Linked DNA regions of Lepisosteus oculatus. Each later gene encodes a partner of the first gene's protein in a complex. Links are inferred from orthologs where the notes say so. Each region holds a gene or a part of one and is shown on either strand. Other genes may lie near its edges. The genes, in order: gemin4 and strap.

Region 1 (15,913 bases):
CTCTGACATGTGAGTGCAGGGTCTGGCCAAGTTCTCCCTGACCAGTGAGGTGTGGCTGTTGCAGCGCCAGCGCCACTGGGTTTGAGTGGGCCTGATCTTGGGCCTGCCCCAGTACCTTGGAAAGCCTCATAGAGACCGAGGGGGCCAGCTCACAGATTGCACTAGTGCCTGTGAGCTAGTGGTGCTGTCAGCAAGAGTCACATTGCCATCCTGGCCAGCAGGTGGCACTGCCCTTCTTTCTGCTAGGCTAGTCCAGCTGCGGTTCGGGTGAATCAGCAAAGGACATTTGTCAATTGCTAAATAGTGGCGCATAAAATTATAGAACAATATTTGTTTGCCAGATGAAAAAGGGGAAACATGATTGGGAGTTGCATTCCAGTAGAGTGGAGTTTGTCATGTCAGCACGGACATCTGTGCCGAGCTGGGGTCTCTGAGAGCGCAGGGCACACCGCCTGCTGTGGGCCAGACCCAAGACTCTATTTGTTCTGAAAACGTGCCAGGACACCTGTGATACCTGCCTGCTGCTGCTGAAACTGTGAATCAGGGCCTGTTAACCTGCCTGTGGTTTCTGGAGGCAGAGCCCTTTTCTCCAATGGACTGGACTCTCAGGAGGCCATGTGCCAGAATTCTGCTGTACAATTAAATACACAAACACGAGGCCACTTAGATTGACGTCACTCGTCCGCTGCAAATCTGTTTTAACGATTCTCAGTAACTTTTTCACACTAAAGTTCGCCAATGCCATCACAGCTAGCCAGGCGTGCAGCAGTTTGTAATGTCTGCCCTGTAAGTGACTATCTGTACCCTGTTCAGGAAACTGTTGTCAAGTGCGAAGTATCCCACAGGCCACCGTCCTGCTTCCAGCTGTGCTGGGGCTCTGCTGCTCTCCGGCACTGTTTTAACTGGGCCCTCTTATGGGCCTGCTGGCTGTAAAGATGCTGGCTGTGAAAGGATGAGTAGTTTATAGCCAGGTGCGGCGATATAGTTATCCTCAGATGTCTGTGATTATCAGTCATTTTTTCTCAGTGTTCAATACTTGAGTCTATTCCGTGACCTGTGGGAGCACATCCCTGGGTGTTCGAGGACTCAGGTTTGTGTTCATGCCATCTGACAATACAGTAGATTTCCCACTGATGGTGCACAGCAGTGTTACTGAAAGGCCCACAGGACCACCAGGAGTCTCTTTCTGCAGATCGGTCACACAGGGTAGTGGGGGCAAAGAGTTCCTTCGAGACAGAGCTGACTGCACGCGAACTAGGAAGCGAGAATTCGGACTGCAAGGCCAGAGAAAGATCGGAAAATTCGCTTCACAGCTGCTGGAAAGTACAATTCCTGCAGCGCCTTCATACCTTGAACCACAGTAGTCAAGAGTGCAATATAAGATTCAAACATCAAGTGTAGATACTGTATTTTATCACCAGAGGCTGTATTAAATCCATATAAGTGGATTCATATGTGCATTCCCGGGAAAGCGCTAATCCTAACGTGAAGGCTGTCAGTGCCAGTCTAGTTCAGAGCGGTTCCCCTTCTGGTTCTCCAAGCCCGTTCTGATCCACTCCTCGCCGACCTGTGGGATAGCAGGTCCCCAGGAGGGAAGGGGAAGAGTGTGCTGGATGTGATCTTTCGTCTTTCAGCCTCCAGATGGTGCTCGAGAAACCGTCCACACCTAATATGATGTACAGTATATCGCCAAGATTTAATTTATTGCCATTTTAGCAGATTGCCTTCTATGTTCATTGTGATGTATAAAATGGAGGGAATTATTACATTAAGGAATTTAAGAGAGAATCATGTATATGTATATTTGGTATTATGTAATGTGCCCATGCGAAATTTGCTATGAAATAAAATGTATTTTGTGTCAACGCTGTGAGTGTGGCTCTTTTGTGGAACTGGATCCCAAAGCTTAAATAAATGCACATACAAGCACCGAACACAGTTTCACATTTACAGCTGCTTTTACTGCCACAGAAATGAAACTTACCCCCCCCCCCGAAACACAAATCAAAAACCGGTTTCGTCGCACAGGGCTGAGAGTTTGCATTCAGAGAAACAGAGGGGTGGCTTCGATGAATGACCCGGTTTTTAAAGTCCTTCTTCTTCCGAGACTGATTGGTCATTTCGGCAACACGTGCATCATAAAGGGACCAGCGTCTCAAACAGTGGAACAGCAGGGTGGCAACAGACCCGGCTGTTTATCCGTGTCAGTCCAGTGCCATGCGCCCAGGACTGGCTCGTGTGCAATGTCACAGTGACGGATATTTGTGTCCGCCTGCTTCGGGTTTTACCTCAGGAATGTTCCACTGGGAAGCCAGGTGTAAATCTCATAGCACATGGGGGCACTGGCTTTGATAAACCAATCACCCAGGCTCTGGGCAGCACCCCTTGGTCCCTCTGGGAAGCACTGTGTCGCTCAGCACTGGAGAACAAGGCACGGGGGTGCAGGCTGGCACGACACCCAAAGGCCCAGATCTCCTTCAGTATGGCTTCTTCTGCAAAGTAGGGACAATTTACAACTCAGGCAGATCTCAGTGACTGTGGAGGTGTAAAGCCTGTTTTAAGAAAGTGCTTGAACTGTCTGTAACACAATGTTTGTATAAAGGTGCTTTTATGCTTTTTTCAATTTTATCAGCTAGAAAATAGTTGTTATTTTTTTACAGATAACTTACATTCTTTACAGTTCATGAAAACCCATCCTTAATACAATACAGATTTCTATGCTGACTAGCTATCACTGAGAGGCCACACGCTTTGAAGCTCAGCTAAAAAACAGTACAGGTGGTATAGTTTTTAAGTGTGGACACTTTAACTTGAAGAAGGTATTTTGGAGGTATTGTATCACTCACCTTTTTCGCTTCTCTCCTTGCTAAAAAAGAAAGAGAAACATGAAGACAAAGTGTTAGTCAGAAACACTCCACTGTGCTGCAGTTCAGTGTTCAGTGAAGACAACTGGTATGTGCTCTCTGGGTGGACAGAATCATTACCAGCAGCCACATCACTCTGTAACTCACAGCTGCCACCCCACTGAAGCTCAACAGGTGTGAGCCTGGTCAGTACCTGGATGGGAGACCTCCTGGGAAAAACTAAGGTTGCTGCTGGAAGAGGTGTTAGTGGGGCCAGCAGGGGGCACTCACCCTGCAGTCCATGTAGGTCCTAATACCCCAGTATAGTGATGGGGACACTATACTGTAAACAGGTGCTGTACTTCGGATGAAACGTAAAACCGAGGTCCTGACTCTCTGTGGTCATTAAAAATCCCAGGGTGTTTCTCGAAAAGAGTAGGGGTGTTACTCTGGCATCCTGACCAAATTTCCCCCTGGCCTTTACCAATCATGGCCTCCTAATAATCCCCATCTCTGAACTGGCTTCATCACTCTGCTCTCCTCCCCACTGAGAGCTGGTGTGTGGAGAGCGTTCTGGCGCATCATCCAGGTGGGCCTGCACACTGGTGCTGGTGGAGGGGATCCCCATTACCTGTAAAGCGCTTTGAGTGGAGTGTCCAGAAAAGCGCTATATAAGTGTAAGCAATAATTATTATTATCCCTGTCTGTGGCTCCTGACCCCATTATTATCCTACGTTTTGTTAAAATAAAGAAAACTCACCACTGTGAAGGTAGGGCAGCAGAATAACCAACACCAGTAGTAGCATCATCACAATGAACGCAACAAATATCCAGAAAAGAATCGAACCAATCCTCAGCCTCTCTGTGAACATAAAACAAGACCAGGGTCGGTTCTCTGATACTTACAAAGGACTCAACATAAATAAATGTCTCAAATAATGCACAATACTATCTTCTATAGTAAGTGTAGCTGTAATCGGAAGAGTTATTTCTTATGAAATACTGTCCTCCAGTGGACAAAGACTAAAAAAAGAATACATCAAACGTCTAGCACAGTGCATGTATTCTTTAATTTGCAAATTGAAAAAAATCTAAATTTCAGATACAATATTCGTATCATTTCTTGGTCCTCTTGTTAAACATTCGGACTCTCCCAGTCATGCACACCTGACCAGTGTGATGACCGGTGCTGCGCTCAAGGTCACGTGACTCCGCCACGCCGCGCGCTCAAGGTCACGTGACTCCCCCGCGCCGCGCGCTCAAGGTCACGTGACTCCCCCGCGCCGCGCGCTCAAGGTCACGTGACTCTCCCGCGCCGCGCGCTCAAGGTCACGTGACTCTCCCGCGCCGCGCGCTCAAGGTCACGTGACTCCGCCGCGCCGCGCGCTCAAGGTCACGTGACTCTGCTGCGTCCCTTGCAGGGGCGCTGGCGCAGATCGGGACAGTTCCACCCCTGGGCGCACGTGGCGGGCTGACCTGTGACCGTGAGGGTGAAGCTCTTGCGGATGGGGGTGCGCAGCGAGACGTGGGAGACCCGGCAGGTGTAGCGGGCGTCGTGGTCGGCCAGCGAGGGGCGCAGGATGAAGAAGGCGGAGATGCTGTAGGTGCCGTCGGCGTGGTGGCGGTGGCTGGTGAACAGGATGTTCTTGATGACCTGGGGCAGCCGGCCGCCGCCCCCCTGCTCGTGGAGCCAGTCCACCTGCACGTCCAGCGGGTAGTAGCCAGTGATCTCGCACACCACCTTCTGCTCCTCCTCCTCCTGCAGCGCCAGGGCAGTGGCCACGCTGAGGGACACCCGCGGGCTCTCTGCAGGCAGGGGCAGACAGCATCAACACAGGCAAACAGAAGTCCTAACAGGCAGGAGTTCCACAACGAACATCAGCGCTTTTCTTTAATTTCTTGGAAATATCGTCATGCAGGTGTGTGATGAGGGAGAACTGGGCAGTGTGTTTCTCTTTCAATCAGGAAAGACTCTACACTTCTATTCTCTTCAAAGACAAGCTCTGCCTGCCCCCTCACACCCGAACGCTGACCCCTGACTCCAATCCTGACCCTCCAACCCCTGACCCCCAACCCCCGTCACTTGACCCCAACCCCTGACCCCCGGTCCCCGACCTCTGACCCCAGTGCGCTCCTCACCCATGATCTGCAGCTGGACGTCATGGCTGCCGTACAGCGGCGGCACGTAGACGGAGCACACGTATGTGCCCTCGCTCTTCACCTTCACAGCGGACAGCCGCAGAGAGGCGTCCCCGCGCGACACGTCCCGCGCCGCCGCCGTCGCCCCCGGCACCTCCGTCTCCGCCCGCCCCGAGCGCCGGGAGTAGCTGAAGAGCTTGCGCTGCTCCCCGCGGTGCCGGAAGCGCCACTCCACCGTGACGTCAGGCTGGGCGTGGTCCACGGCGAAGCCGCAGTCCAGGCGCGCGTCCTGCAGGAGCCCTGCCTGCACTGTGGGCGTCCGGGTCAGGACCACCATGGCTACTGTGGAGTCCGGGGAGACAGACCGGGAGAGGGGTGAGACAGCGGTCCACCTGGGCCACTCCAGATTGACAGCTGGTCAAGCAGGTAATTAACCTCGTGAGCTGTTTCTCTGCACAGGATCAGGAACGGATTTCAGCCAAAATAGTACAAGGGAACATCCAGTAATAATAATAGTAATAATAATTGCTTACACTTATATAGCGCTTTTCTGGACACTCCACTCAAAGCGCTTTACAGGTAATGGGGATCCCCTCCCCCACACCTGGGTAATATAACACCCCTACTCTTTCCGAGAAACACCCTGGCATTTTTAATGACCACAGAGAGTCGGGACCTCCGTATTACATCTCATCAGAAGGACAGTGTCACCATACTGGGACCTTAGGACCCACATTGACCGCAGTTTGAGCGCTCCCTGCTGGCCCCACTAATACCTCTTCCAGCACCAACCTTAGCTTTCCCAGGAGGTCTCCCATCCAGGTACTGACCAGGCTCACACCTGCTGAGCTTCAGGGTGATAGGGCTCCTGCAGTACTTGTTGTCTCAATAAATTAAAGCATGAACAGATTCTCAGTATTCAGTGAAATAATATCGGAAATAATTCTGTTCTCAGCCAGCTAGCCTGGGTCTGCCGCGAGCGCGCCACCTGACGTGTTGAGGGTGTCGGCGTCGCCGATGGGCTGCTGGGGCGCGGGGCTGGGGTACAGCAGGAAGGCCGTGACGATGAACTCGTTGGCGCTGTGCCGGAGGGTGCAGGTGAACCAGGCGCTGTCCGGCCCGGCCGTGCCCTTCCAGGGCACCTGGATGCCTCCGGTGGAGTACCTGCGGATCTCGCACTGCAGCTGCTCTGTCCCGCCAGGCACGTGCCGGGTCACGTCCACCGCCGAGCCTGCGGGACCGCCAGGAGGGACAGACACCGCCGTCAGGGAAAACTGCACCCGCTGCACGGCGCTTCGATCCCGCGCAGGTGGTACGAGCAGCACGGAGCGTTTAGAGGTGAGCGGGCAAGGTGAGCACATTGGTACATGTTTCAATTATCACAGCTCCTGGTTAGGGCTCTGAAGCCAGCCAGCGAGAAGTGTCCTGCAGGTGTTGCTGTCTCCTGCTCGGCTCGGCTCACGCTTAGCCCTGATGCGGGCGGAGCGGTGGCTCTGTGGCCAAAGATCTGTGGCTGGAAGGTTGCCGGTTCGAATCTTGCGGCCGGCAGAGGAATCCTACTCCGTTTGGCCCCTTAGCAAGGTCTCTACCCCCAACTGCTCCAGGGGTGCTGTATAAATGGCTGATCCTGCGCTCTGACCCCCAGCTTCTCTCTACCTGTCTGTGTGTCTCATGGAGAGCAAGCTGGGGTATGCAAAAAGACAAATTCCTAATACAAGAAATTGTATAGGGCTAATAAAGTGAGCTTACTTTAAAAGCCTTTCGAGCTCTCAGAGGTACAACCATACCACCCCAACAGAGCTGGACACTCCAGTCACACTCCAGAGCTGGAGAATAGAGTCACGATTATCTGACCTAAACGGCTATCTGACCAATAGCACGTCGGATGCCGCGGAAACGGAGTAAACAAATCATGGATTAATGAAAGCGCAGTATAATAATGAAATCTGGTTTATTGACCTACTGTCATACTAAAATAACAGATTACCGAACTATTGTTAGTTATTATTAAAAAACAACAAGTGTGCTTCACTTCCTTGTGGCAGGGTCTTAGTAAAATGCAATCAGCAGCATGGCCTCTTGTGGTTCAACAAAAGCTAGTTGTCACGGATGGCGGAAGGGCAAGGTGAGCAGTGGAGACCCTATGCATAGCGGTAACATTGGGGCAACACGGGGGTTAGCCCAGGCTCAGGGGGTGGGTCGATGTCGGGGTAGAAACCAATGCCCTCAGGCCACGGACGGGGGGGGAGGGTGACCTGGATACGAGGCAGGTCTCACGACATCTGGGCCGATGAAACTGAGCGAGGAGCGGAGCAGATGCAGGAAGGAAATAAGCAACAGAACAAAACACACCAGAAAGACATGAAGAATCCCAGGGAACTAGGAACAGGACAGAAGTGGAGCACCCTCTAGGTGTACAGGGCGGCGCGACACTAGTGCCGCTTTGAAAAGACAGTAGGAAAAATAATCACGAGTGTGAAATTGGCAAGCGAAGCTACGTCAAAGGCAGTACGTGACGCACGGAGAGACAGAGCAGCATCGGACTGGGCACAATATTATGCACGAGCACACATATACTGTACACTATGGTGACTGGCTATGTCAGAGAAGCGAAGGTCAGATAGTCGCGACTCTACTGTAATGCCTGACCTGGCCTGTCTGCCTGTCCTACCGTCCTGCACCTGCGACCCCACCTGTGGCCAGGAAGGTGACGACGCCGGCCCGCTGGGCCTCCTGCAGCCTCTGGGCCGTGTCCGCCTCCCGGCCCGGCCGGGCCAGCAGCAGCGCGGCCTTCCTGTTGACGAACTGCGTCTCAGGGGCCCCACTCAGCCCGCTGGACACCCTCTCCTCCACCAGCTCGCAGGCCAGCAGCCCGGCCTCGGCCAGCGACTCGGACCGGACACAGCGCAGGCCTGTGAGCGAGGGAGGGAGAGACAGCGACCATGAGCGCACGGAGAGGAGAGGAGTTCCGTCGGCATGCGCACACACACACACAGAGTGAGTGTGTGTGTGTCAGTGAGTGTGAGCGTGAGTCTGTTAGAGTGAGTTTGTGTGTGTGTGTGTGTGAGCATGAGTGTGTTAGAATGAGTTTGTGTGTGTGTGAGTGAGTGTGTGAGAGTGTGACTGAGTGTGTGTGTGAGAGTGTGTGTGAGTGTGTGACTGAGTGTGTGTGTGAGAGTGAGTGTGACTAAGTGTGTGTGTGTGTTAGAGTGAGTTTGTGTGTGTGTGTGAGTGTGTGTGTGAGAGTGTGACTGAGCATGTGTGAGTGAGAGTGAGTGTGTGAGTGTGTTAGAGTGAGTGAGTTTGTGTGTGTGTGACTGAGTGTGTGTGTGTGAGAGTGAGTGTGTGTGAGCATGAGTGTGTTTCAGTGAGTTTGTGAGTGTGAGTGAGCGTGAGTTTGTGTGAGTGTGTGAGTGAGCGTGAGTTTGTGTGTGTGTGAGTGTGTGTATGTGTGTGAGTGAGTGTGTGTGTGAGTGAGTGTGTGCACGCAGATCGCCAGAGACAGCAGCTCACAGGAGAAGCGAGACGGGTCCCTGTAGACGAATCCACAGCTCATTGGCAGGATTCACGAATGATAACTACTGCAACACACGCAGAGGAACAGCGTGTGATTTTATTTTCTGAGGTCGACCTCTGACTCCTGGCGGGGACTCTTCCGCAGAGCTCGGAGTAACCACGGTCGGGTTTCGCTGCAGCAGTGCACAACGCTAGTTTCGGAATTATGCGGAATTAGATTTCCACAAAACGCAAGGTATACAGTACCTGCCGTGTACGTTTTAAGTAAAGGAAGTTCAAGTTCACATTTATTTATCATTCCAGCCATATTCAAGTATACAGTGGAACGAAATATCGTTCTTCCTGGTCCACGGTGCAAATACAGGCAGGACACTGACAGTGGACACCCACTGGAATGAAGTCAAATCGGGCACGAGTCCAGATTCCTTCTCATATCAAGCAGGATTCTGATCGGTGAAATCCGGCAGTGTCTGAAAGCGCGGACCAATCAACAGACCGCAGTCCTGCAGAGTCTCAGCTGTTGGCAGGCGAAGCGGGGGACAGCCGTATTTCATCTTTCAAAACTCGCCCGTCCAGAGCTTTTATTTACAGCTTTCCTCGTTCCTGCATCTGTGCATAAGCACCAGGGCGCCTACAGATCCTACTGCGCACACTGCGCACAGACGCCTCGCAGCCGCGGTCGCCCGAGGGAGGGCAGCCGGGTTTAACGGGTGTCGAAACGGATGTCAAGCTGCGGCGCTAAAGCGTTCAGGGCCCCGCGGGAGCCGGTGATCTGGAGGAACAGACAGGTGTCGTGTCCCAGGAGATACTGGGATACGACGTGTGTTTCCTCTACGCTGTGTGCGTGTGTGCGTGCGCACACAGGTTATGAAATCGTCGCACATAGGAAATTGAACTGCGCACAAAAAATGTAATGAAAAAAATGATGATAATAAAACAAACACGGTCATCAATTGAAAAATGCTAAATTGAACACAACAGACTGGCTGCGAGAGGCCCAACTTGGCTGTTTGCATTATTATTGCTACTCGATAATCGATATTTGTGCTCGTCTCGTACCTCACCGCTCATGCTGGCTCCACACTCAAGTCTCTATGACTGGGTTCGATAAATCGCTGTCCCGGTCTTTTAGATCTCTATGCTTTTATGAGAACGACTATATTAACGAAAAATAATTTCAGCTTTACAGTTTTACATGCACTCAATTTAGTGCGCACAGGTTTTGGCACTGGGGGAAAAGAATTGCACAACTTGAAATTTGTGCGCAAACGTGCCATTAAAACTTAGAGGGACCATTGGATACGACACCGGGAAGAGCCGAAAAGGGACCGACCGGCCCTGTTCGTTACGGACCGCCTCCTTCCTGGTTTCAGGTGCGGGAGGAGAAAAACGTACGTGCGTGTAAAAAGATCAAATCGATGTGGGGAATATCAATACTTTTCAGACAATATTTTCAAACACGCCGTCACAGAAACGACGGTAATGGGGTTCGGAGCAGGAAGGCGAGTGTTTGGGGGGGGGGTCCAATATTGGGGAGACCGCTCGGTCCGTTTCCGCGTCGTACAGGTGTGGAGACACTCACCCGAGCAGATCAGGACACACAGGAGCACCGCCGTCGTTATCATAGTGGCGCCTTACAGACGTTTTCACGAACGACCGACTTGCCGCAGCGCCTTTCTGCAGCCTCCATTAGGCGGGGAGCCCGAGTTCACTTTCTCTTTCATTTCTCAAGCGCAGCAGACGCGAGAGGCGTGTTTGAAACACGAAACCAGCCAGCGTTAGAAAAACCACGGGGACTTCCAGGGTGGCACAACCCAGTGGGCCTGTGGCCACCCCGTGTCTGACCGCCGAGAACACGGGCCATTGGCGTGGTGGTCAGTCTGAATTTACTGGGGAAGAAAGAACACCTTAAGTAGATAAGAGAAGACTTACAACTTAAATAGAATTAAAAAAAAACCTGTAACAAGTAAAGGTTTATTCCATACTGAAGAGAGAAGAAAAGAAACACAATGTTTCGGCTGTAGAACCTTCTTCGGGTGTGATACCTGAAAGGTTTCTTTCAGGTTTTCTTCTCTTTGCAACAGTAAATAAACCTTTACTTGTTCCTTTGCAGCCTACGCAGCATACTGACGCGGCTCCCTACTTGTTAAGGAATAATATTTGTTTATGTGTTAACTTTTAGTATTTCTTTAACATCTAGATTTGGGCTTGTCTGTGTGTTGTAGGGGGTTTTACTTTATTCGATTTCGTTGTTAACTTCCAACAACAAGAGAAACCGACCGGCCGGGACCGTGGAACTCCTCGGAGCGGTCAAGCCGCCGTGCTCCCAGCAGAGGGCGCTGTGAGAAACCGCGCACGGTGAGAGTGAGACTCCAGGGTCCTCCAGCAGAGCTGGTGAAACTCGTTGGTGTTGTGGCGGAGGAAGTACGAGTCTGGCGCGCGTGTGCGTGGGGGGCAGGTTAGTCTCGAGTGGAGAGTTGCGCGAAGTTTTATATAACCCCGACGGTGGTGGAATTCGGTGCATTAAGGTATCTTTTGTAAGTGAGCGTGTGTGTTTTTCATGCGGCACCTATGTAGTGGTAAACTAAATAATTAAAGTTAAAGCATTAGGTTTAGATTTAGACCTTCGTAGATCATTTGCAATCTGCCTTAAATTTAGATTTAGTTTCTAACCCTCGATTTGTTTTTAGCGTAAAAAAATAAAATGTACGTTATTTCGGTATACCGCGTTTTCCGTGCGTGTTTGTTTATCTTGACTTTGTTAAGCAGATTCAAGCCGATACAATGAAGTCCATTCATTAGCTCTCTTCGGTTTAATCGCACGTCCTACAGCCCAGTTCATGAGCAGGCGGCAACCAACTAGAAAGAGCCAGGAATTCACTCAGCATTCGTTCTGTGAAGATGTTCAAATTTATGAATCGCACACAATTTATCTGATTGCAGTTAAGTTGACTGCTCCTTTGTACTCAAAAGTATTTGTTCAAACAAACTGTGTATTCCTGGTCCTGAAAACATATGAAATGTGTGTTTTTGAAAGTGTTGACTGAAGATACTGTCTGTCACGTTATTAGGGTACAATGGGGGACGTGTGAGTGAGGACTGCTTTAATCGGGAACATCTGGACTCTACAATGGAGCCTGGTACAGTCCCTCCTTTCAGATTCTATGCTCATAGTAGAAATACTGTAACTGACATGCTTGTGTTGATAACATCTGCTCTGTAATGGTAAAGTGCATCATGTACAGTGAAGCAGGGCTTGCAGACTCTTTTTGTGCCAACCTGTGTAGACCAACAAGTAATCAGGTTATTTCCTCAGATTCATGTGGTATTTTCACGAGGTCTTTTTATCACTTTTCACAAAAGTTCTAGTTATTTGACTTGATTAGAAATAGAGTGAAGATCTAAAACATCGTGTATTGCGGTATCGCAGTTATGTAACTGAGAGCCTAGCTGGGGCTGAGGACACAGGCTCTCCAGGAGCTGAGTCCGAGGCCCAGGTCATAAATCAATGTGGTAGTAAGCCACTGTCTGACCCTGCACGGGGGCCGGTCCCATGTTTTGTCATCAGACATGTATAAAGACAGCTTATTAACGCAAACAGAAACTGTGTGTTTAATTGTTAGGAGAGGTAGGTGAGCATGGTGCTGTTAACAGTTCAGAGATCCTGTGTCCAGGGGGACTGGGGAGGATGAGAGTTCGTGATGCCCCAGCAACGTCCTTCAGCTATGGAGAGCTGATTGATAGGGGAGGGGTTTGTCGCCTGCTGTATCGACACAGAGTATTTGCATCTTGCCTATGAAATATGCTGGTTTCTCTGAACAACATTTTCCCTGATTATTTTAAAGATTTTATATGGTGTCTTTCCAGAAATCAGTAAGTGGGTATTTGTAACTGCTCTAGTTAGAAGAGAAGATGTTAGACCACATCTAAAACTCGGCGTTTTCTCGGAGTTTAAATATCCACCTCAAATCACGAGTAGTGTCTTCAGTATATTCTGTATTATGAATATACTATTCAGTGCTTGTCCAGGCCCAAGGGTGGCAGGTATCCATTCAGGGGTGGAAAACCGGTTCTCCATGTTGGGATAACTTGACTAATATGCCTCTGTCACTGTTTTTGGATGTGGTGTTTCCACACTGGAGTGCTGCTTCCTTGCTGGACCATGCTAAGTTCTCTCTCTGTCTGTGGTAGTGGAGAATAAGCAGTAGCTGTATTAGGAAAGTGCTCTAGCTGAAGTTTTAAACTCACAGTCTGTTGAGTACGTAGATAAGTAGATTTAAGGTCTAGAAGTTCAACATGTAAAGATTTACGCTTGAAATGTTAATGTTTATTCACTAACTAGTAAATCTGTTTTTGAAGAATGTGTGTGGGAGGTTTTTGTTGACTTTAACACTTGGATTAACTGCCTTTAAAATTGAACCCACAGGAATGTGGATCAGCTGTGAGAAGACAGCTGTTCTCCACGGAGGCTTTCTTCTGGCTGAGAAGCTGTACCGTCCCAAGGAGCTGGCCGCCTTGAATAAGTCCGAGTGGCACAGTGTGGGGAAGCCCATCGTTCAGGCGGTACAGGAGATTCTCTCTGACAGCAGCCTGAGCACTCGAGATGTCTTACACTGGGAGAAGAAGATTATTTGTATTCTGTGGACCAGACTGCTTGACACGGAGAACAGTAAGAGGGAGGAACGGGACAGCGGAGAGAATACTGACAGAAAGTGGAAGGAGGATCCAACTTTCTCTGTGCAAAACCTCCTCCCCAGTATAAGTCCCACGGTGCTGTTTGAGCTGGTCAAGTCCATGGGCTGTGCGAGGGTCTTTGCGCAGTTCCTCTCGGCGTTCCCTGGGGGAGCCCTGTGCGGACAGCTGGCCGGACTTGTGGAACACGTTCTCATCGAGACCTCGGAGGAGGATGTCCAGTTCCTCCTGGAGGTTTGGTGGGAGCTGTGGAAAAGCCCCGAGGAGAAGCCGGAGGATGGGATTGTCCAGGCCTTTGCTGCTCAGGCTGCCAGCTACCTGTCCCAGCTGCCTGCCCCGTCCGCCAAGAGGTTCAAGCCTGACCCTGACGTGGCTCGCCAGTCGTGCGTGGTCTCCCTCCTGCTTGACGCCTTACGCAAAACAGCAGAGTGTTTCTCCACCTCTGACCTTTGCTGTCTCGCCCTCTCCAATTGCTTGGACATGCTGTACACAAGCTTCCTGCTCGACTGCCAGACCAGGCAGCCCGTGGAGGAGCACCTGCAGAGCTTGGCAAGGGCAGTCCAGCTGCGAAGGCTGTGTAGCCACAGGCAGGAGGAGAACCTGGCCGAGGACATCAGGGAGGCACAGCGAGAAGTGGCAGCTGCTCACACACCGTCCCAGTTCAAGCCCACTGAAGTAACACTTCCGCAAGGGTTAAAAGCTCTGTTAGAACTTGTTGAGATTTGGGGCAAGAAAGAACTGCTAACAATCTCAGCAGACAGGCCGCCTAGCCCTGCGGCTTACAGGCTGAAGAGCTGCCTTCCACGTGTGATCAGCTCCTTGGAAGAGCTCCCGTTGTCAGAGGAGGTGGTGAGCGAAGGAGAAAGAGGGATTGTGAGGGAACTGAGTCATTCCCTCACATCGGTGCGAGAGGGAATTGCTCTTCCTGAGCTGGAGTGCGGTGGCGCTGAGCTGGCAAGGGTTGCAGCAGCAGTTATTGATAATCGCCTGGGAAGGTTTCAAGAAGTGACGCACGTGTTCGCATCCAGCCTGGTCTTCAATGTTAATGAGTGGACTGAGTGCTTGGAGAGGAACAAACCTGCCTTTAGAAATGAAGAGTTAGTCTTAAAATTGGTTTCAACACTTACTGCAAACACGGCTACAGGGACCCAAGATGTGTCTCAGCAGAAGAGACTGAAGGGAATTATTCTGGACATTTTCTCTGAGCTTCCTCTGCCTCTTAAGAATTCGTCACTGGCAAGGGCGCTGTCTGCCTTTGGCAGGAAGGGACTGCATGGTGTTCTGCCGAGGACTGTAATGGAGGGCTTCAGCGATGAGGTGAACTTGGCTTTCAACTGCATCACTCAGAGCAAAACACCGCAGAGCCTTGACAGTGCTGTGTCTGCTGTCGCCAGGGTTGCTTTCCAGAATCCAGAAGCGGTCTTGCAAAGGGTGTGTCATCTCGCAGTGGTGAATCTCGGAGCCCACAGGCTCCTGGCTGATATCCTGAAGAACCTGCCGGGACTGATCTACTATGAACCTTCTGGTCTGCAGAGCGACAGTAGTGCTGGTTGCAGTTTGCTCTGCCACTGCCTTAAGGACACAGTGTGGGGCAAACTGTCTTCAGCTAAAGAGGAGGACCAGTTCTTTCATTTCCTTGCCTTCCTCATGCAGCCGAGCAGCCCTGCAGGAGATGAGCCAGAGAGCAGACTCTGTTTTCTTCAGCCTGGGGAGGTCACCAGGACATTCGTCTTGCCCCATCTGATGGACAGCAATTGCAACCTAGAGCTATGTCTGCGAGTGCTCCAGCAGGCTCTCCAGCACAGAGGCCCGCAGGCTTCTGGACACTGGGTAATGTCCTGTCCTCCTTTTCCTCTCCTTTTCTCCCTTTGCCAGCTCTTACACAACTCCTTCAGGTGCTGGCAGGATCCTGTGCCTCATGATGTCAGTGTTTCCTTGGAGGCTAAGGAGCTCTTGACCAACATCCTGGCTGTCATGTGCGATGTAGTAGGCAAAGAGGTGGCAGCTGACCCCAGCACCTGGTCCAGAGCTCTTTACTGGCTCTACAACAAAGTGGAGGCTCTGGATTGGACTGTGCGCTTTCAGCTAAAAGGAGTGTGGAGGGAACACTTCAAAAATGAGGTGCCCTTGTCAATGATGGAAGTGTGCAGTTTGTCAGAAGACAAGTGGGCCGGACTGGATCTGCCCATGTATGGGCTGGGTACTGGGCTTCTGGCCTGGATGGAGTGTTGCTGTCTTTCTGCTGATGTCCAGACCCACATGCTGGAAAACCTCATGGTCGACATGAAAAATGCAGAGGAGGTCAACATGTTTAGCAAGGGCTTCATGGTGGCTCTCATCCAGGTCCTGCCCTGGTGCACGTCCACAGAGTGGGGGAGAGTTATGGAAGTGGCACGGCATCTTCTCCAAACCAGGTGCCTCCATGTACCATACTCCCTGGAGTACGTCGAGTTCATGCCACTGCTGAACTTGCGGCACTTCTCCGGCGACCTCCAGCTCTCCATGTTGCTGCTGAGAGCCTTCCAGCTGCTGTGCGGCTCCAGCTGCTCGGACTGGCTGCCTCAGAAGGGCTGGCTGCACGTGGGACGGCTGTATGCTGGCACCATGAGGGGCATCCTCGAGTCTGTGACGGGGAAGCTTCTCCCATCGGGCCAGTCCGAGGCGCCAGCCAGCGACTCCTCGCACGGCAGCCAGGAAGTGGTGTTCGTGTTTGTGCAGCTCTT
Region 2 (15,852 bases), on another chromosome or scaffold:
GGCGCCAAACTGTCCTTTAGCCCTGCTGCGGTAGCTGCCAAGTGTTTTGCAGGAAGGAAACAGCAGTGTGGAAGGCAGCTGTGGGAACACACCGAGGTCAGTAAATGTGAATGGAACCCCTACCTAAAAGCCGGGACCTTGCCATTCCAGTAGTGATCCAGCTACCATAGCCCATATTTTCATTTCACTTTGTCATCTTTCTCTACTCTGGTGACAAAGTTTTTCTGGGGTGCTCCAAAGCCTACGTCACTCACCCCACACTGCCTCTTCAGTGCTTTAATCTTTTGGCGAGAGGGGGCAGACCGTCAATGTTTGCCACGGTTTCGGCTGCCAGCGCGCACAGGTCACTGCTGCTATAGCAGCAAATCTGTTGCACCCATAATCTTTCTAAACAAAAGGCAGATCAGTTTACACAGGTGAAACACGCCGAAGTCAGAGGGATGCACCTGTGTGCAATGCCATCACTCTTCATCAGCTGACCTGCTCATTGTATCGTAGTCCAAATCTCTCCTGTCAAGGAAACAAATGACTCATCGTGAAGCTTGTGCCAGTTGTGAACCTCCCAACAGTGAGAAGTGGTGAAAGGGAGAAGAGGGAGTGTCCTTGTTAACTTTTGTTTACTGTACTACATTCCGCATTTCGATCACATACTGTGGGTGCGTTCTGGCACCTGTCACCGAGATTATTTTCTATTGTTGAGGACAATAACAAGGATTTCCAGCAGCGCAGTGTGACAAGCTTAACAAATTATTAACAAATTATTAACAAATTATTGTTGCTTAACTTAATCATCGCAATTAAGTAAAACACATGTATTTTTCTTCACCTCAATGCTAGAGAAACAGGCTATAGAAATAACTTGAAATGCTGCCTTGCTCTGAATTCCGATCCTGCTGAATGTCAATAATCCTGTTTGACAACGCAGTAAAGAACTTGGACAACGGCGCACTCAAATTATACGACTCATGAAAGGGATACTCCGTAATTCTCAAATAGGAAAAAAAAACAATATTGCAAATAATCATATACTATAATCATTTTTAATGTAAGAAAACACAAACAATTTGAGTTTTTAATGTTGGGGTGAGGACTCATTTCGCCCGTGTGCTCTTTCTCCACCTGCGTTTCTTCCCACTTACAGAGCTGCGGTCTGCGGTGCGTCACATGCCACAGAGACCCTTACCCTTCAGTGATGTAAAACTACATCACTGTAACGATGTCCAGTCAGCACAGCAGGTAATTTCCCCAAACGTGTGCAGTATGCTAATGAGACTTTTAAGCCGGTCCTTGGTCATCCACGATCCCGTGGCACAACTAAAAGAAGCAGGGGTGGTAAGCCCTATGTTGTGGCTATGGGTCACTTAGACCATCAATCTACGACCGTGCATTCTTAAAGAGCCCCACATACAAACAGGGGAACAGTTCCTCCCTTCTCTACTTGAGCTGCTGTGTAGTGGGGCGAAAGTGATTAGGTATCCTTTAGGATGAAAAGAACTATATACAGTAAATCAAGAATTATCCAGTCCCCTAATAGGGAAGGGATTGCCGGATAATCATCTCAAAGTTTTATAGTAGCCTATTTGTGCAAATCCTCAGTGCTTTGAATTTGTCCCAGCTGTATACAAATGTTGGAAACGATGCAAGGAGCACTTAAAAACACACAAAAAGGCTGCATGCACAATGCAAGATGAAGAATCAAAGTGTTGTACAGTACACACTTCAGCTTGTTTCACGAAAAGTACATTGAAAACGTACACCATTTAAGAAGAAAGAAGATATTTTCTAGATCTGCCCATGACCTCCAGAAAATGTTGGAAGCAGTTGGATGGTGTTGTCTCCATTCTGTGTTCATAGAAGGTTCAATTTGACCTTAACATGTTTTTAGATAATCTAGTAGTTTAGTAATAAGATTATACATAGTGGTCACACGCTGGTTATGGGTGAATATTTTTATAATAAAAGTGATACAATTTTTACAATTGTAATCTTCATTTCAATGTTATAATTACTTCAAGACTCTCTAAATGGGAATTTTGTATTAACTTCAACTCTGCACAAGAAAAACTTTGGGAAGTCTCTGTGAGTTTTCTCTTATGGAAATGTATGAAACAGAAGTCAAATTTTCTATGCAGGATGCCAGTATCACTGCACATTGTGGCTCGACCTGTTAATTTCACAAGGTTTGGTTTTTTTGACTTAAAATGAATGTTTAACAACCAGTTTGAACAATTATTAACCTATATTTACATGTTTTTAACGATCAAATGTTAATCAATTATGATCTTGGGGCACCCTTTGTTATTTTTTTTTAAATCAAACTGGAGAAACTGCAGAAGCAAAAGATCATTAATGAGGGGAACACTGCGCTCGGGTCATAAGGCGTACTGCAGGACATACATTTCTGTGAGGAACTACACAAGAGGGAATGAAGAGAAACTTATACGACTTATGAAATACGACTAGTGATGGTTAACCGAGAAATCAAAACGTCCAGCAAATCATTTTCGGGGCAGACGTGTTAAATCAACCGGATCCGAAACAAATAAACTTGGGGGGAAAAACGCTCCTGGAGTAAAAGATTTTAAGACAAACTGTACGAAACTGATCAAACTTTTCCAGCCCCGAGGACGTGCGTTCATCTTTAATCTGCAGTTTGGCTAAAGATCTGCGTCACTAGTCTAGTCACCTGCTCTGCATCCGTTTCTTTCGCACACCGCCGGTAACCTGCTTCGCGAAACGTGAAATATACATCAAATAGCATATATATATGTACAGTATGTACACGTGTGTGTGTGTGTGTTAAGCGTTACCATCCGGTCATGAAAGGGACGCAGGAAGAAAAACAAAAAGACCGAAAACCCGGCACAGAAATGAAGGTTGTCGAGACAAAACCCCCGACGCAGAACACCGCGCGTCTGCAGCCCACCGAGCAGAAACGACACGCACGACTTTACACGTCACGGCCCGGGGGTGAGGGATCGGGGCGATTCCCCCCTGCACGGGGCGAAGGAGGCTGCACCCCCCCGTGCAGTGTGCAGTGTGCGCAGTGTGCAGTGCAGTAATTTAGGGGAAAGCCCCCCCCCCAGGACACGCACGCCAGCAGACACGGAGGCCTCTCCGACCGCCCTTCCCCATCTGCGGCTGGCGTCGCCCCGGCAGTCTCGGCTTTCATTGAATTTCTCTAAAACGTCCGGCATCCTTTCAAAACCCTGCAGCGGGTCACTGCCCCCCCCAAACCACGGTTTCGCTTAATAAAAAAAAAACCCGCGCACATCCTTCATTTCGCGTACGAAATTGAGAAATATACCTTCATCTTGACATCTGTCTCTTTCCAGTGGGGTCTCAGTTCCTTGATAAGTTTCTGGGCTCCAGCTCTGAAATCGTGCTCGTCTACTGTGACATCTAATTTGGGGACTGCTGGGGCTCCCGCAGGGACGTGGATGTAGTCGGCCATGATCACGAGTACGGTTTTTTTTTTCCCCCTCACTTTTATTAACGGCTGTCAAAGAAAAGACACGTTTCAATGGGCTGTAGACGAGCTCCCGCGCGTGCCTTCGCAGTTAGAATCGCCTCAGCTGGTTCTGCTTCTTAGAACGTTCCAACCCCTCGTAAAGCAACCCGCGCGCGTTGCATGCTGGTCCCGGGGTGAGTCACAGCATCAGGTGAGGCGTTGCCTCATTGTGACAAGGTTGCCGCGACTGTGACGTTTTTCTGCCGGCAGTGTACTGTGTGCGGGCGGCGTCGGGTATTTCAAGTGAAGTTGCTGGATTTTTGTTTTTTATGTTTTAGTTTTGTTTCATTGGAATACGTAATAAACACTCCCCCGTGCATGGCGATACGCAGTAATAAGGCCCAAAGCTCATTTGCTCTGCAGTCCGCATTTATTTTCCTAGTCGTGTGTAACACTTTGAATTGGCAGGGACCTGGGCTGCTCCAAGCCAAGAGCTTTCAAAACCCCGGCAGCCTTTTGGAAAGAGGAGATCTAATTTTAGCAGGCAATTAATCAGCTACCACACATCGTGCTGGTTTTATGCGAAAGAAGGTGTTAAAAAAAAACACCGGCTGATGAGCAACTTCGTAGAAGTTGTTATTAGTTACATAGTATTCCAGAATGGGAAGAGAGTTCTAGAACATGCTGGATATAACCGGGTGCGACGCTCCCTTCTTCAAACGGCGTCATCACATGCACTCACACCCACTCTTGCTCTCTGTTAAAAAAACAAGGTATGATCATCCTGAGGTAGAGAGAGTTTGTATTATCGCCAAGGGACAATTGATTTGAAGGTTAAAGAATAATTTTACGGTAGACCTATAGAATGTGGGTTACAAGCAGTGATTTTACTATGGTCTTCTGACAAAATCGAGTGCTTATTTGCAAAATTCCGGTTCTGCCCGTGTGAATACAGACATATTAGACAGATGCTGTGTTAAAACTATGATTCATGTCTGCAGTAACACTAATCTTTTTTTGAGCTGCAGCATCATTGTGAAATACTGTTTTATGACAATAATGAACTATAATGTTCACGCCTTCAAGGCACAAAAATTAGAATTCTGTGTTACGAAATTCTTCATCAGAGGCGCAGGACACAGTCTTGTGCAGATTCAGTTTTATTGAGCGCAAGAAGTACACAACGTGCGCTGGTTGTGCCCCGCAGAACAGACAAACTGCAAGGGTTTCCCAGCTCTTATATACAGTCAGGAGAAAGTTCGTTTCACAATCTGAGTGCTTGTGCTTTTCTTTGATATGTAATTACTACTTGTCTTGCCCTAGGTTCTGTCCTTTGATATGCAGCAGATATTGGTCTGGTTTATCCTGTTTGTGGGTGTTGTTTCTGTCTTTTATTATGTAGCTGTAAGCCACTGGGGCTGCTAAAGCAAGTCAGCTTTATGGCATCTTAGTGTAACTTTTGGCTAAATTAACAGACCCCATCAACAGCTCTCACAATGTGCTTAAGTGGTGATACTGTGATGCTGGATAAGTGAGATATATACATGTCCTACTGCACTAATACATACAGATGCATGTGCTTTGTAGTTAAATTAGAGCCAAGGACAAAACTGTTAAAAGCAGAAAAAGTACCAACCAAATAAAAATGTAATATTCATTGTTAGAATTGTTTATTTATTCTGAAGGTTATAGAGACCAAATAAGCAGTGAAGCTAATGAGGAATGCTGTCTAACGCACAGCTTCTATTACATAAACTGTCTGAGTTGTGACTTACAGCCTTTTTGCTACCATTTGTATTGTGTTCCTTTTCAGACACAGTGTTTGTAACAGCATGTTTGTCTTAAACATTGTGAATATACAGTAGTCTGGCGTTACTCACAGCTATCTTATATACAGACAACGGTCTGCTAAACAAGTCACAGATTGTGTTCATTGCGACACTACTGTATTTTTACTCTGAATGGTCAAGTTAGAATTTATGACAGCGAGACCTCATTTGGCCCAAACAGTATGTTCATTTAGGGGTTCCTTATTTCTGGCCTGGCTGTTTTGTGAACAAGGAGAGGCTTTAGTCTCAAAACACTTCTTTTTGTTTGTGTTAGAGTAATACTGTTAAATAACAATGATGAACTGGAAAGCATTACATTATTAAAATAAAAAATAGGAATCTTCTTCTATGCATACACAAAATGCTCAACATGATCTCAGAGAGGTTTAGAGTGGGGAATGTGCCGAAGTGTGAGCTACAAAGGAACAAGAAGACGTAAGTCTATACTGTAAGGTAAAAAGAAAGAAAACCCCTGTTTCGGTCCTGGAGACTCTTCAGGTGTGTGTTGAACTGAATGAGAGAGCAGGGAGATGAGGTGAGGGGTGGGGTAGAAAGGACAAAAGGAAAAAACAACAACACAGAACTTAGAAACTGTTACACCAGGAAGAGATCAGAAGTCAAGATGAGCTTTTGAACATGTTTCACTCCTGCAGGTGGTATGGTGCCACAGTGGTTAACATTGGTGGCTCACAGTGCTTGGGGCCTTGGGTTCAATTCAATTCAAGGGGGTGCTGTCTGCATTTAGTTTTTATATTGTCTCTTTGTTCATGTCCTCCAACTGTCCAAGAACATATTACCAGGCTAACTGGCTTCTATCTGTGTGGGCCCTGCGATGGACAGGCATCTTGTCCAGGAGGTATCCTGCCTTGCACCTGTTGCTTACCAGAATAGGGCAGGGCTCCCCCATGACAGTATCAGATAAACTGGCTAGAAATTGGATGGATGGATGTTTCACACTGTTTTTTCCGGCACTCAATGTATAACTAATGTTTTTCTAAATCTCTTTATTTGCTGATTGCAGTTTCCCACACTTCCCCTGGCCTTTGCCAACCAGATTTCCATCTCTTTAGCTCCCCTGTCACATCTCTCTTAACCATTTTCACTGTATATATTTCCTTCCCTGCTCCATGGGAGGAAATTCTGCAGGGTTTTATGAAGAGCAGCTGCAGTAAGATTTGAAATTAAATCATTGCAAGGAGATTTTACGCTTCATCTTTGGGCCACTAGTTAAGTGGCATTAAATAATAAACAAAAAAAACACTCTACAGTCAAGAAACCAACAGGAAACGAGAAACTAGCACCTAGTTTAGATATAACCTCATGGTTGCTTGTGTAAGGTTTATTCATTTATTTTGCACCTGCTTTTGCTATCTCAACAAGCAAGATTTTACAGTTTTGTCTACATATTTTGATGTCTCTACAAGGACAGCAGTATTTGACTAGCTGTGATAATGCCTGTACTGTACAGAGTTATTGCCTAGTTATTCCATGTTCTGAGATTCAGTTTCCTCTCAAAGGCTCTGTATAAAATAACGTTTATTAACCAATCTGGGTCATCTAGTCACTTTCATGACACAATTAAATGTGTGTATGGATATTTCTTATGTATTAAAAATGTTGCTGATTATGATTTGAGGTAACTCAGATATGCATGTTTATTTTTTCTTTGTACTGTATACTTGTATATATCTATTTCTTAACGTTTTCTATAAATCTAGGTAAAATACATGTCTGAGAAACTTTAATCAACACTCTCCTTCAAACTCCCACAAAACGTTTCAGACGAGAAGAGGCCACTGGGTCCTATTTAACTCGTTGGGTAGTTATTAGCTTTTGGATCCAAGACTCTCATCCAGAAATTACTTGCACTTCCTAAGTGGCCCCTCTGCCTTATCTCTCTCCCCTCTCCCTCCTCCACTTTCCCAGCTTTTGTTCTCCGGTGCTATTTAATCTTTGTCGTCTACCATGTCTTTCTCACACCTGAAGAGGGCTTCAGACCCCGTTACCTGTTACCTGAAACACGTCAGCCACATGGCCGAACGCTGACCGTAGTGATGTACTAGATCTAGGGGTCTATAAAGTGAAATCATGCAGCTGGAAAAGCCGCTTTACAATCAAACACTTGAAATGAAAGAGCGAGAAGAGGCGTTCATGCTCCTCTGCTATCGGCTCCCCCGTTTCCACACGGAGCGTTATGGCTGTTCTGTTCCCTTCCGGCGGCTGCGGCCATGCGTCACCCTCTCTCCTCTGGCACATCCTGTTAATTTTCTCTTGCTCCCCGTCTGTTTCGTTCCTAGCTCCCCTCCCGCACCGGTCGCCTACGGTAGCCGGCGGCACAGCGTTGTCCGCAGGGCGAACGCTTTCACCCCCACCCCACCCCAGTCCCGGGATCCGACCGTCCTTACCGGCTCCAAACTCCTCTCCCCTGGGCAGCCCTCGCACGGCGTACCGGTGAGTGTCCGCTCGGGGCAAAAACACACAGACACACAGCACCAGCTTGAGGCGTGTTTCATACAAAAACTACAAACTGGCGTTGAATAATTTGCTTTGTTTTATTGTTTTTTTTTTTTCAGATACCAGGCCTTTCTGCTCCTTCTCGTCTCTCTCTCTCTCTCCCCCCGTCGCTGACCGTATTTGTGCAGTTTTTCTCTCCCTCCCTGCCCTTGGTGCGGGACTGATTTGCGAGGAGCGTTATGGCTATGAGGCAGACACCGCTTACTTGCTCTGGGCACACACGGCCTGTGGTTGACTTGGCTTTCAGCGGAATAACCCCTTATGGATATTTCCTGATAAGTGCGTGCAAAGGTAAGGTATCTCTAAGACATAATATTGGCGTCGCTCACGGTGTCCAACCAAGAGCGATCTGCAGCCTGAATCTTTTTTTTTCTTATCAGTCATCAGCGCAGGTATGCGCTGAATGAAAAAAAAAAAACTTAATCTTCGTTTCCACGGTGTTAAATGTGTAAATGTTGGAAACTTGATATCCCGACTGTCCTGACGGTGAAGGCTCCGGAGACTAAAATAATTTAAAAAATCTAAAAAGTGAAGGTGGAACATTCTTAAAAGAGATTCTTAACATGCAACACGTGTTTTTTTGTGTCCATATATACATATATAACATTAAGGCTTTATAAGAATGTATAAGAAATGAATTAACTTGAAGCGTGGTACCTGTTGACCAAAATGAATGTCCTCTGAATAACGTGAAGAGACAGAAAAAATGACCATGTGACATCATTGCAGCGAAGTGTAAAAACCCTGCAGTGACAGTGGACTGTAGCAGGGCACCTGGATTATTTCATGTTGAGTTGAGTTGGTTAGACTGTGCTTGATCTCGGGAGAGACAGCATGACTAAAAGACTACCTGCAAGGGGGTGTAATTTAGAGAAGGAATGTGATTTGAGTAGAGGTTTATGGAAGTTGCTTTCCCTTCATCAAGCAGGTGCTGACGCAGTCTGATGTGGATTATATTTATGTGTATTATTGTGTTTTTTGTGTGTGCTCCAGTCACTGAATTCTGCTCAATCACAGAGTGCAGTAGATTCTAAGTTAGGTCACTCTCTTTAGCCTTTAGCCATGATCGGCACCCTCATCAAACAGTGATCAGTTTGTCTTGTTGGGTGAGTTGTTGCCTGCTGCCATTGTTCTCTTCATGATTATGACAATGTCACATACAATTGTTTGTGCTCTGTCCTGTTTCTTTCTCTTTTTTGTGTCTTGTAAACTGGCACACATCTTTCCAGGGGCCCTGGGACACCTTTCTGCGTTGCCTTTTCTATTAAGGGTCTGGGTTTCCTCAGGCACGCATTTTAAACAGGAAGCACACATTGGCCATACTTTATCTCGCAAATTTGCTGTTTGTGTCATCCAGTTACAGATTAAAATTTCTGCTTGTCGTATTAATAAATGGACCGCTTTACAAAAGAAGTAAATGGCATTTATGCAAGAACAACACTCCCTATCCTTGGGAAGGGAGCACGTGTATTTAGATACATGTAGGGGTATGTGTAAAAATACTTCAATGCTGACGTACTGTTCCAAAAAGAATATATATATATACACACACCCCAGTATAGTGATGGGGACTCTACTGTAAAAAAACAAAAGGCACCATCCTTTGGATGAGACTAAAACTAAGGTCCTGATCCTCTGTGGTCATTAAAAATCCCGGGGTGCTTCTTGAAAAGAGCAGAGGTGTTACCCTGGTGTCCTGGCCAAAGTTCCCCCTGGCCTTTACCCGTCGTGGCCTCCTAATAACCCCCATCTCTGAACTGGCTTCATCACTCTGCTCTCCTCCCCATTGAGAGCTGGTGTGTGGGGAGCAGACTGGCTCACTTTGCCTCCAGTTCTATCATGCAGGTGGAGCTACACACTGGTGGTGGAGGAGGAGATCCCCATTGCCTGTAAAGCGCTTTGAGTGGGGTGTCCAGAAAAGAGCTATATGGGTTTAAGGATGATTTAGATTATTATTATTATTATTAAAGGTGAGCTGTGTGTTTTTGTGTTGTTTTTTTTTGCGACTGAAATGCTCTGCATCTCCAAATGAAATATCCCACACTGAAGGATCCTACACTTTCTTGGGAAACAGCTGACAGTGCCTCCCCTGGGCAAGGGATTTGAGCATCACACAAAATCAGACCGTTAATCTCTTCAGGTTCGTGCAGAGGCATGGAAGGCTGTTTTCTGGGCCGGCTGGTGACCTGCGAAACGTGTCACTTTGCCGTCTGCAGAATCTTTCCCACGCTCTCGAAGCGTTGACCTTTTGCTCGGTCCTAACTGTGTGTGTGTGTTCTGTGCTCCTCCCACCAGATGGCAAACCTATGTTGCGCCAGGGGGACACAGGGGACTGGATTGGAACGTTTCTGGGTCACAAGGGTGCTGTCTGGGGGGCCACCTTGAACAAAGAAGCCACCAAGGCGGCCACTGCTGCGGCCGACTTCACCGCGTGAGTACGGCTTCGCCGCCGCCGTGGGGACTGCGCTGCGGGACAGAGGCGCTGCTCGCCGGGTGGCGCTCGGTGCTCGGTCCGCTCCCACCGTGTCAAAGACACCGTCCAGAACGTTTATCTTCGTGCATTCAGAAGATGTCCCGAGAAACGCGAGCCGCGCGCTGTAGATCTGAGGTTGAGGGTCCGTTCCCCTGACAGATCAGCTGAAGGGGTCCAGTGATGGAGCGTTTGCTCGACAGTGCGACTGGCTAGTGTAGATGGAGATCCTGACGGTAGATCAGTTGACACATGGGCACTGGTCTGGTGCCTCGCAAGGACAGATCTTCTGTTAAGCTTAAAAATATTTATATTTTATCTCAGTGTTTTGTAAGTGGGGAAGAGATCATTTCAGGGAGCGATTGCTATTATATACACGAGAAATGGAAAACCGAGTCATTTACACTATCCAGCGGGTTGATCTGTCTTAATGGGAATGGGCTCTGACTGCACTGCAGATATCTGTATAATGCTGTATTGCACGTACCGAAAAAGCCACCTGTTTTGATGAAAGTTTCTGCTTCTTTCTGGAAGGATTCAGTATACAATCTTAAGAGACTATTAGTCGCACAGCTATTGGTAAACAATTAAAACTGTTTTGGAAATCGTTATCATTCTTACTGACACATTGAGTTATGGAAGGGATGAGGGTGTTGCTGACTTAGGTTTGTTTCTTTTCTTATAGCAAAGTGTGGGATGCTGTTACAGGGGATGAGGTCCTCACTCTAGCCCATAAACACATCGTCAAGTCTGTGAACTTCACTCAGGTTTGTTACTTTACTTGGAAATTCATGAGAGAGCCAGTCACACAGCTGTAAAGCTGTGCATTTTCTAGCAAACGCTTACCATGTCACTGTGGTAACGTTATCCTTTTATTAACTTTCTTAAAGCTAATGCAGTAGTTCTGCTTGTGTTATCGCTAGTTTATGTTATCTGTAAAGACTGGAGAAGCTTCTCTCATGAATACAAGATTGGGTTCAAGATTAGGAGCAAGGAATGGAATGGTCAGATCCACATCTTTGTATAGTTCATTGACATTCAAATTCTGAGTATTAGCCAAATCTTATCTCACTCTGAAATGAAATATTCTTCAAAAACCGCTGGGCTGCAGAAACTGACATCAAGCAATGTTATTAAAACTTATTTTTCCATCCATGTGTAGTGTTTAAAGGACATATAGTGCTCACATTATGTGGTCGTAAAGGACATGACCACTAATGAACCCTTTTGTTATAATAGCAAAATATGCATGTTTTTTAACTTTCCTGTTGGTGGTTTTTGTCCAATATGGAAATAGCCAAGTGGGTGTTTGTAATGTCTTGGCTCACAGCTTCGAACCCTGACCTCTGCGGACAGACTCCTCTGTATTGGTCACGTCACGTCCTCCCTTACCTACTTGCCCCAGCCTCCAGTGCCCAGGAGGCCACAGGGCTCGCTGGGCGGAGCGGTGGCTCCGTGGCTAAGGATCTGCGCCTGTGACTGGAAGGTTGCTGGTTCAAATCCCACGGCCGCCAGAGGAATCCTACTCTGTTGGGCCCCTGAGCAAGACCCTTAACCCTAACTGCTCCAGGGGCGCCGTACAATGGCTGACCCTGCGCTCTGTCCCCAAGCTTCTCTCCCTGTCTGTGTGTCTGTGTCCCCATGGAGAAAAAGCTGGGGTATGCGAAAAGACAAATTCCTAATGCAAGAAATTGTATAGGGCTAATAAAGAAACATTAAAAAAAACATTACATTACAAAAAATTCGGCGAAATGCAGCGTTGCCAGACCAGTAACATTAGCAAGACATTTACAACAAGCCGTTTACAACAATTAAACTTACTGTCAGGGGTCTCTGTGCCGCTCACCAGGAACAGAGAAACCCCTGACCATCCAATCCCAACCTCAGGAGTTCAGCCTGCCTTAGGCGAGAGAGTGCAGTTTTTTTAATGTATTGAAACGTATGTTCATGTGAAAATGACATCTTCTAATGCTTACAGATTAAGAATGTACTATATATGTAAAAACACAGTCAGAGTTGTAATAAGAATTTAGAAGTTATGCAGTGGCAAAAGATCAGTTAATTGTGCGTAGTGGCAAAAGATAACTGCCCTAACAAAGGCAAAAGAAGTCCCTATGGAGACTTGGACAATTATATTGAAATGCTTGGAATGCATTGCTTCGTAGTTACAATTAACTCCTTTTTTTTTTTTAAAAAAAGCTAAATGTACTGTAAATAATCTTATATTTAAATTTTAAAACTGTGTGCTAGAAATATAGGAATATTTATTCACTAAAAGTTACTGCTAAAATTATACTGTGTTTTTTATAGGTTTTAATTGTGACATTTTTAAACATTTTTCTATGTGCAGGACAGTACATGCCTTTTAACCGGGGGGCAGGATAAAGTTTTGCGCATTTATGACTTGAGCAAGCCTGATGCAGGTGAGTGCTTACTGGTGAGGGATACTGGTTACCATGCTCTAAGCAGATGCGCGTGGTAGGGTCATACTGATGACGCTGTAGTTTTCTGGTGTGATAAGTGTGAAGATCATTTTCCACACAAACATTCTGAAGCAAGTGTATATTAATAACACAACTTGTAACACAAAACAACTTGATTTATTACATCCACTGTAGCTTTGTTGTACACACATGCATGCATATATATATACATTGCTTTGAAGTAAACAGAATTAGTTTGAGAACAAACAGTAAGCTGTTCAATAACTGTACAATAATTGGGTACATCATTCTGTCTTCATCTTTCTGTCTAAAATAACAATGGGTCTTGGTTTGTTTTCCTGTACAGAGCCTCAGGAGATCACTGGCCACACCTCTGCCATTAAAAAGGCTCTTTGGTGCAATGATGATACGCAGATACTTTCAGCTGCAGATGACAAAACAGTGCGGTAAGCTGAGACTCTCCCTTGCGTACCTGGGAATCGGACCGTGTGTGGAACGTTCTTGGAGTTAAAGGAGTTGTGATGGTGAAACTTATCAGTTCTTGTGCAAGTGGTGCAGCTGGGGAGAAAAGACTTCACTGACTTCTGCACAACCCCTGCTGCAGTAGTTCTGGCATTGGAGTCTTTGTGTTACATTTCGAGTGTCTTGTTTAAAAGAGATGGGCAACAGTTGTTTTGGAAATGAGAATGGAAAGGGGGGAAAAAACAAGATCAAGAAGAAATGACATGGGGACCAAAGGGAAAACCTGTTCAGTGAATAACATGCAGAAAACTCATTGGAGAAATCAAGTGTCTGAATTTACAGTTTTATGCAAACGTTTGGGCACCCCTGGCCAAATGTACATGTTTTGTTGATTTTCTTAGTAAAAAGAAGTTAACACAACCTCTGCGGCAAACAAACTTAAAATTGACATATTTCTGCAAATATTAATACGCAGTTACTATTTATTTGCTAACTTTAACAGGTTGGAAAAAAAAAGTAAATGTGGCATGTGCAAATGTCTGGGCACCTTTGCAGTTGAACCAGTTTAGTTTTTTTATAAGGTCTCAGAACTTACTTGATTCATTAGGCCTGAATCTAAGTCAGGTGATGACAAATCCAGAGCTTAATAAATTCTCTGACTCTTCGAACCTCTCAGGGTGTTGTGCTTACTCTCAACAGCCATGGGCTCCTCTAAGCAGATGACCGAGGATCGGAAAATAAAAATAATTGACTCTTGCAAAGCAGTGGAAGGTTATAAAAAGATATTAAAACACTTCCTGCTTGCAATTTCAGCTCTCCGAAATGTCATTAAGAAATAGAAGTTAAGGGGAACTGTTGAAGTCAAGACAAAACCAAGAAAAATCTCAGATGGAACTGCTCGTAAACTGGTCAGGAATGCAAAGCAAAAGCCCCATATCACTGCAAAGGACCTGCAGGAAGGTTTAGTGGTCCACCAGTCCACTGTGCAGCATTGCTTGCACAAACATGATCTGCATGGAAGAGTCATCAGAAGGAAACCTTACCTGCCATCTCATCACAAAAGTCAGCGTCTGAAGTATGCAACACAACACTTAGATAAGTCAGAGGCGTATTGGAACCAGGTGCTGTGGTCTGATGAAGTAAAAATTGAACTCTTTAGCAACAATCAGCAAAGGTACGTTTGGAGAAAAAAAGGAGAAGCATTTGAAGAAAAGACCACCTTGCCCAACTGTTAAGCATGGGGATGGATCTATTATGCTTTGGGGTTGTGTGGCAGCCAGTGGCACAGGAAATATTGTGCAGGTAGAGGGAAGAATGGATTCTACTAGGTATCAACAAATCCTGGAAGCTCATGTCCCCCAGTCAGTGAAGAAACTGAAGCTGAAAGGAGGTTGAATATTACAAAAAGACAATGATCCAAAACATACTGCAAAATCAACTATGAACTACTTCAAAAAACTAAAGGTTAAGGTGTTGGAATGGCCTTCATAGTCCCCAGACTTGAATATTATTGAAAATCTGTGGGTAGATCTCAAACATGCAGTGCATGCAAGATGGCCTAAGAATATTTCTGAACTAGAAGCATTCTGCAAGGAAGAGTGGGGAAAACATTCCTAAAGCAAGAATAGAAAGACTGTTAGCTTGCTACAAGAAACGTTTGGAGGCTGTGATTTCTGCCAAAGGGGGTGTTACTAAGTACTGACTGATAGGATGCCCAAACGTTTGCGCATGCCACATTTACTGTTTTATTTTTTTTCAATCTGTTAAATTCAGCAAATAAATAGTAACTGCATTAAAATTTGCAGAGCTATGTCAAGTTTAAGTTTGTTCGCTGCAGAGGTTAACTTCCTTTCATTTAGAAAATCAATAAATCATGTTCCAAATATTCCAAATGTATAGTGTTATGAGTATGCTGTAGACCACCTAATGCAGATGTTGATTATAATTCAACATTGCCTCATGAAATTCAGAATATGTATGAAAATAAGTAATTTATATGGGAGACTTTAACTTAAAATGGTAAGGATCTATAGGAATATCGGCAGGGAAAACTGAAATGGTAGACCTGCTTAAGAACTGCATTAATTACCACTTTGCCAGAGCACATACAAGAGGAAGTGCTTTGATGGATCATCTTTTCAAATAATAGAGTGCTAAGAATAGACAGATCTATTTACGAGAGAGACTGAGGTGTTAATGTGGACTCATTGTTCATATTTGAAGAGACAATATGAGGAAGCAATTAAATAGGCAAACAAAATGCTAGGATACATAGTTAAAAACGGATTTTAAATCTGATTATTAAATTGTTTAATACACTAGTAAGACCTTGTTTAGAATATTGTGTACAATTGTGGTCACCATTATAGATAACAATGACCAGATACATTCCAGGTACTGTCTTGAACAGATAAGACTATGAGGGAACTTGGAAGTATTCAAAATCTCCAATGGCACTGACGAAGACAGCCCAGAAGATTCCTTTAAAACCAACAGTGAAACATAAGCCAAATGGCTCAAGTGGAAACTATTTGGAATGGTTAAAATGGAGAACAGGAGGCTCCTTCTTTACAAGAAGGTTTGTGGGAGTCTGGAACAAGCTCCCCAGCCATGCTGTTGATGTCGATACCCTGGTTTCTTTCATGAAAAAGGCTGGATAGAATCATTTGACCAATCAGCTGC

Evidence for each region.
Region 2: gemin4 (region 1) and strap share a complex: the UniProt entries of both Homo sapiens proteins name them as parts of the SMN-Sm complex. The link is inferred for Lepisosteus oculatus from reciprocal best matches to the Homo sapiens genes GEMIN4 and STRAP.

Annotation. Positions count from the first base shown.
Region 1 is NC_090721.1:10,941,955-10,957,867, forward strand, and holds the start of gemin4 (gem-associated protein 4), read left to right. Parts: upstream 1-9,782; 5' UTR 9,783-9,889; intron 9,890-10,080; coding exon of another isoform or gene 10,081-10,123; exon of another isoform or gene 10,124-10,222; intron 10,223-10,288; exon of another isoform or gene 10,289-11,035; intron 11,036-11,569; 5' UTR 11,570-11,628; coding exon 11,629-11,638; intron 11,639-12,924; coding exon 12,925-15,913. Other genes in the region: dhrs13b.2 (tapasin-related protein), read right to left, coding at 2,478-2,492, 2,847-2,866, 3,604-3,705, 4,320-4,649, 4,983-5,324, 5,971-6,213, 7,676-7,894, 10,081-10,123. UniProt on the Homo sapiens protein: The SMN complex catalyzes the assembly of small nuclear ribonucleoproteins (snRNPs), the building blocks of the spliceosome, and thereby plays an important role in the splicing of cellular pre-mRNAs.
Region 2 is NC_090702.1:51,128,861-51,144,712, reverse strand, and holds the start of strap (serine-threonine kinase receptor-associated protein), read left to right. Parts: upstream 1-7,502; 5' UTR 7,503-7,731; intron 7,732-7,853; 5' UTR 7,854-7,973; coding exon 7,974-8,085; intron 8,086-10,089; coding exon 10,090-10,225; intron 10,226-10,949; coding exon 10,950-11,031; intron 11,032-12,614; coding exon 12,615-12,687; intron 12,688-13,054; coding exon 13,055-13,154; intron 13,155-15,852. Other genes in the region: etnk1 (ethanolamine kinase 1), read right to left, coding at 3,308-3,454. UniProt on the Homo sapiens protein: The SMN complex catalyzes the assembly of small nuclear ribonucleoproteins (snRNPs), the building blocks of the spliceosome, and thereby plays an important role in the splicing of cellular pre-mRNAs.